Daphnia pulex: one gene and its partner. The protein of the gene in region 1 purifies or fractionates together with the protein of each later gene. This does not show direct contact. Links are inferred from orthologs where the notes say so. Each region holds a gene or a part of one and is shown in the gene's direction. Other genes may lie near its edges.

Region 1 (3,249 bases):
ATTTACAAAGGCCCGATTGGGGTGGCCCTTGGTCTGATAAGAGTTTAGTGGCACTTCAAGAGGTCTCGGTTGTTTTTACAGTCACTGAATCTCCTCCCAGTCCCGGCAGCGGGACGAAATCGACCCCGATGAGCGACAGTTTTTGGGTCACTGGGTGCGGTGATGCTTTTTCAACTTCACATCGATCGATCTAGCTAACCCATTGTAACTTTTACTTTTTCTTTTTGTGCGTGGGTGTCGGATTTTAATTTTAGGAGGCTGTTTCTATCCCCTGTTCATCGGGAGCTGTTCATTTGCCACCAAGATGGCGTAGCACAGGATATTTTGGATCTTGCCTTCCATTTAGCATTCGGAGCCGTCCTTTAAAATAGATTTTCCTGGATACTCATCGAATTACTACAAAAAAATGTGTTTTCCTATTATAGTGTGTGCTCGTTTCTTGTTATTTATTTTATCCGCATAATGTGTATGCCAGGGCATGGCCTACTCTATGGTTAAGGCCTGTAGACTTGTATCCACTGCCATGAAGGCGAGAGGCGTGGCCAAATTCCCTAGCCCTGTCCCTGTGAGAGCCAATCAGGCGAAAAATGGAGGTTACAACTTCGCCATCTGGCGTTTTAAGATGTAAATCTCGTTGTAAAGTAATGAAGGCGTAATAACAAATTGTTAGATGCCACGAAATGCGTTTTTCCTACTAAGTTCAACAGCAGATGTTGAGGAAAACGACTAAATAGGATAAAAAGGACATGTGCATAATTCCAGCAAAATTTTTCGAATAAATTATTCCGTGAAACACAACCTTTGTTATAAACTGCAAATTAAAAAGATACCTCCCAACCGAGAATTGAACGCCGCGCCGTGGTGTGGTAGCTGACATTGCTATCCATACGGCTACCACTGCTATGAAACACTCGAAGAAAAATTTATTATATCTAGCTACCTAACCATTCTAACGAGATAGCAGTATTGAACGACAGATGGCGAAGTTGTAGCCTCCATTTTTCGTCTGATTGGCTCTTGCCCGGGGAAAGGATAGGGAATTTGGCAGATCCTCTCGCCTTCATGGGGCAGGATTCAAGTTTACAGGCCTTAACCATTAAGTAGGCCATGGCCAGGGGAAGCCTTTTCCCGGGCGCACCTTTAATTTTTCTCGCCAGATGTCGCCACGATCGAATGTTGATTATTTATTTTTTCATGAGATATTGTAATCTGTTGTTTGCTGATATATTTCGAGTTGATGAAAAGTAAAACATAAATCGAATGAAATACGAAAGGTAAATCTCTATCATGTCCCTTTTATCACCGGTTTGTTGTCGTGATAAGAAAATCAGTTATTTGCTCGAAAAGGGTGTCGGGATAACAACCAAGCAAACACGTTCGTAGTTTGCGTGGGCCCAGTTATGAGATTTGTAAGTTGTTGAATCGACATGGAAATCGATGAAAACTATCTCTTCGATTAACTGATCGATGCACCAATGTTTATAGTCTGCTTCAGATGCCATAACTTTTTTAACTTACAATAAACTCACACTTACATACCAGTTCTGCTGTTTTTCTATTTCCATGTAGTCCCAAGCAGGCAAACAAAATGTCTGTGTCTGTTCAACAAATTCTTGCTGATGCCAAACGACTAGCTGGACGCCTGAAAGACCACGACTCCTCTGCAGATTTGCTTCTGTCGCAAGCTCAGGCAATGTTTTGTCAAGTGGATGCCATGAAAGAGGTACACGGTTGGGGGTTGGTGATAGCTTGTGGCAGTAATTTTTTTCAAATTATTGCTTCTTCTTTAGTACCAAGAAGAATTGGTTGAATTGAACACAGCTGCTCATCAAAGACCACATTTGGATCTCATAGCCAATATTCAGCAAGAAAACCGACAATTGAGAGCTTTAGAAAATGAAAACAAGGAACTCAAGTCAGCTCTTGAAGAGCATCAAAATACTCTTGAGCTTATAATGAGTAAATACAGACAACAAATAAGCCGTTTACTTGAAGCAAGTCACACAGAAAAGAACTTGGTTCATCTTCTCCCAGACACAAGAGTAAATAATACCTAATAATTTATTAATAATCTTACATGGCATGAGATTAATGAATTCCTTATTGTGATGGTCTATTCAGAAGGCTGAAGAACAGGCAGAGAAAATCAATGACATGATTGGGGTCATGGAGACAGCTATAAAGTTGGATGACAGTTATGTACAAAAGGAAATTGAACTGTTTTCAAAATTGACAACTGAAAATCGGGTAACCAGAAGAGCTGTTCGGAACGTCTTTTAAATTTTAACGTGTAAATTTCAATAATTTTCATCATTCTTATGCAGGGACTGAAAGAGCTTTTGGACATAGCAAGTCATAACGGGTCATTGAGAAACTCTCTTCTGGGTATTAAAAGCGAGGATAAAGAGATCCAAGCCGATGTTTCTTGTTTGAACCCTTGATCTCCGAAAAACAAAGGAAAATCAAATAGCGTTACAAAAAAACAAACATACGATAGATTCGTTAATTACGTTCGCAATATATAATTAATTATCTATACCTTAAAATCTGAAGATTCTTCGTCACATGATACTTCTCCTCTATACTTTGTCCTCTACGCTTTCCTTGCACGATGTTTCACTTTTATCCCGTGTATTAATTAAAGTTTCAAATAACTCCATAAATTTTTTTTTTGTGTTCTAAAGAAATAACTAGATGTTGCTTGGCTATAGGTTGATTGCAATAAACTCGTGTTTCATGTCGTTGACTCTCCTGCCAGCGTACTCATCTTCAATCCTCACATTTAAAACCTTTTTCAACCCTCCGAAGGTCACCAACCCGCAAAGTCCAGGTATGCTCCCCCGACTAATATGTTGTTTAAAATTGTGGTATATAGTTTAAATACTCGAAAGACCTTGAGAATGGTATACAACTGGACCAAGTTTTACCAAATTTGTGTACACAAACCAATCCAGGTCAAAGTTTTCTTTTATTACTACAGGTAAAAACGGACAAAACAAAATTACTCTCAACCCGAGAGCGCGAAAATGTATACGTGTTTCAGTTTATGTGGAAAGTTCTATTTATTCAGATCGACAGTGTCCTCGTTGCGTTGTGGTTTGTGCGCCGAAGAAGACAATCACCCGCAACAGAAAAGTATTTTGCAAATGCAAACAGTTTTCAAATGTTGCGTGAAACCGCGTAACTAGTGACGTCTTCACCGCGGCACTTGAGTCAATATTAATGTCCTGTTATTAACGGCAACCCTAT
Region 2 (3,232 bases), on another chromosome or scaffold:
TAGAATGGAAGAAATTAGTCAAATTTTGTAAAACCTAAAACTAACACTTTATTATTTAATTCAATTATTTCTAATTTTGATTAGAAATGGAGGATTTTTTTACAATGGATTTAATAGTTAAGCATATCATCACAAAATTTTTTTTTCAGAATTCATCTCTTGCATAGCACTGACAGGCCTTATTCTGTGCTTCTCGATAAGCCTGGCATCCTAAAGCTAATGTTCCTGTGTACATTAACTTTGCAGTCCCTTTGCAGGCTGAACAGAAAAAGGACATTTACTAACATTTTTAGAAAAAAAAAAAAAATTACATTATTACCTTTCATGAACAGCAATGATAATTCTTCTTCATGATTTGAACATACTTTGTAGAGGCACTTTTTAAAATGCAAGTCACACAAATCTTTATCGGCTCCACAGTCATCATAGCAATAATCGTGGGTGTGACAGCATTCTTCTAACTCTTTTAAAGGCAGTTTCTCTTCTTTCCACTGATGATATTATTAGCACAAGAGATTAAATAGAACCAGCACACACAAGGATTTCTTCATTTACCGTATATCCAAATGATCCACATCCATTACTTTCCGGTATGTGCAAAGGATTTGCTTTTCTGATAAATCCTTCAACAAGAAACAGCATCAAGAAGATATTTTAATCCAAGCAAATTTGTTTTTTTATGTAAATTAACCTTTTGGACACGTGTATGGCTCACAATCTTCATCGATAGTTGCGTCAACAAACTGTTCTACTACTTGAATCGTTTTGGCCAACTTAGCAAGCCCATCAAGCCCAGTATGCAAAAAACTTTTAAGGTTGTGCATTGCATTTTTGATTTCATCAAAATAACTTTTTTGTCCGTCGACAAATAAAGCAGAAATGGTCACGAATACTAAAAGAATTCTGATAACTCTTGCTCTTGGAAATGATGACATTTTGAACTAGAGCGATAAGCGTTGCCAGTACGACTGTAAAAAAATTAAACAAAAAATTTATTTCACCAAAAATATAAGAAATCAAATAATATTTTAAAATTCAATTTAAACGTCAAAATCATTAAGTTATAAAAATTAATAATCAATAAAGAATATATTCATTGTGTTTCCTCATTTCAAACAAGGTTGCCTTTTGAAATGAAGTAACAGAACTACGTACGTCAGATCAGATGGTTGAGCGTTATTCCTTTTGCTTATTTATTTGTAAGTGATATGTTTTGTTTATCTTAGATCCAACTGTGAAATTACTACACTGGATATCTCTGTTTCCTTTTCCAAGGTTTTCTTACCTTGTTTAGTACAAACACTTGTCTAGTGGCTTACTTTGATTGAACTCATTCGATCTAGTCGATCAACACACTCGTATTTACTTTCTCTAGACAAGCTAGTTGTAGTTGTGTGTGCAATTTTTCAAGAAATTACGCGATATCCCTATGGAATTTAACTTCTAGTGACACTTATTCTTATTCCAACATCATGCTAAAGCATTTATCAAATGCATGTGACTTTTTTAAGGCTTAAAGTCGCAAACTGTATCTCAACTAATTATCTGTTTTAAATAGGTAATTAAAGTGGCAGAAGCTTCTACAAAGATGACTATGGGAGAAGAAAGCATGTTGTCTTCTTTAGTGTTGCCTATTTTGGTGGGCCCATCTCTGGTAAACTTGGAGAAACAAGATCCAGGTGCTGCCCAACTGCTGAAAGCTGCCTTTAGTAATGCCGAATCTGCCCATCCAGGCCTCTGCCACAGTTTCATTTTGGGACTGATGAAAAAGGCAGAATTGTCACAAAAAGTCAACATGAATGAGAGTCTTTTAAGAGTTCAAGGAGCAGCCTTGGATCAAGAATCACCTGATTACAGAATTAACCGCTCTGAAGATGCCTTTCAGGTAGCTCCGCTTTAAATATCACAATTTCAAATACTCATGATAGCCCCTTACTGAACAGGAACTGTGTAAGAAGTCAGTTGGTTTGAAGAAGATCCTGAGTAGAATCCCTGATGAGATTGGAGACCGCAAAGCCTTTCTGGAGACTATTAAAGAAATTGCAAGTGCCATAAAGAAACTGCTTGACGCAGTTAATGAAGTGGCCGTCTACATAATATTCGGCTCGGGAAAACAGCGCCTGGAACAGCGAAAACGAGAATTCGTCAAGTATTCTAAACGGTTCAGCACGACGTTGAAAGAATACTTCCGCGATGGACAAGCAAATGCTGTCTTCCTGAGTGCCCTCTGCTTGATACAGCAATCCAATTTCATTATTACAACCGTTAAAGATTGTTGTGAATAAGTTTTGTTAAAAAATCTTTCAAGCTGCGGTGAAGGTCGATGCTCGGAGACGTCGCAATTCGGTAGCGGTTTAAGTGGTGCTTCACACACAGTCGTGAATATTTATATTTCAAAAAATAAAAACACAACTTAATCCGTTCTTTCATCGTTTTACACCGTCCATTTTCAGATCAGGTGTGAGTACCCTTGAGGGGGTTGTCTGCATCTCTTCACCCCATTTTTTTTTCTCTCTCTCGTTATCTTATCATCCACAAAATCCTTATTGCTCGCCACCTCCTAGACCGCTCCTAATGATGAAATCCGTTGCATGTTATCCTAGCCCGACCTAACATTCCAGAGAATAAACATTGTTGAACTTTCTATAAGCAGTAATTATAAGCCTGTTTATATATATGCGGTGGTTTCGTGTTATATATATAGTTAAAAAGTATAGAATACACAGTATATCTTCGCAGTCTAACATAAATGTTGAGATTTTATTTGAATAATACAGACCAATTCAAATGTTCTAATCTTTTCTCTTTTGAGCTTCTGAAGAAACACCTTCGAATTTCAAATGTTTTCATTGGTTAGAGCAATCTGTTAAACAGTTTTACTAGCAAAAGGAAGCATGTGTAGCTTTTGAGAGCAATATCATAAACGAAGGGATAACTGCACGAAGAGTATACAGCCAGAAATAAAATAAAACTTGAAAAGTAAAATGTAATAAGGAAAAAAAAACGAAGAAAGTTTCTTCCAATAACAAAAAGTACGCTGTAAACTGGGAGCGGTTTGGCAAGTCTCAATAATAAGCCATTTAAAACAAAAACAAAAAGTAGAGAAGAAATCTACTCGAACAAGTTCCGGAGGATTACGATAGCAATGATTGTTTAAAGTTGTTTAAGTAAACCAAGAAAATGACGTCATAGCAAGAAAGAAAGCTCGTAGTGTAAATTCTAGATTACACTG

Evidence for each region.
Region 2: the proteins of FGFR1 oncogene partner 2 homolog (region 1) and programmed cell death protein 10-like purify together in Homo sapiens (affinity purification with mass spectrometry; 3 studies listed by BioGRID and IntAct, counting the BioPlex papers as one, with this or other methods). This does not show direct contact. The link is inferred for Daphnia pulex from reciprocal best matches to the Homo sapiens genes FGFR1OP2 and PDCD10.

Annotation. Positions count from the first base shown.
Region 1 is NC_060024.1:10,465,488-10,468,736, reverse strand, and holds FGFR1 oncogene partner 2 homolog, read left to right. Parts: upstream 1-1,159; 5' UTR 1,160-1,260; coding exon 1,261-1,274; exon of another isoform or gene 1,275-1,409; intron 1,410-1,569; coding exon 1,570-1,723; intron 1,724-1,790; coding exon 1,791-2,042; intron 2,043-2,121; coding exon 2,122-2,247; intron 2,248-2,324; coding exon 2,325-2,441; 3' UTR 2,442-2,741; downstream 2,742-3,249. Other genes in the region: protein inturned-like, read left to right, coding at 1-154, 255-366. UniProt on the Homo sapiens protein: May be involved in wound healing pathway.
Region 2 is NC_060025.1:9,340,702-9,343,933, reverse strand, and holds programmed cell death protein 10-like, read left to right. Parts: upstream 1-1,132; 5' UTR 1,133-1,472; coding exon 1,473-1,493; coding exon of another isoform or gene 1,494-1,497; intron 1,498-1,558; coding exon 1,559-1,885; intron 1,886-1,943; coding exon 1,944-2,285; 3' UTR 2,286-2,644; downstream 2,645-3,232. Other genes in the region: group XIIA secretory phospholipase A2-like, read right to left, coding at 146-258, 320-491, 556-623, 692-935. UniProt on the Homo sapiens protein: Promotes cell proliferation. Modulates apoptotic pathways. Increases mitogen-activated protein kinase activity and STK26 activity. Important for cell migration, and for normal structure and assembly of the Golgi complex.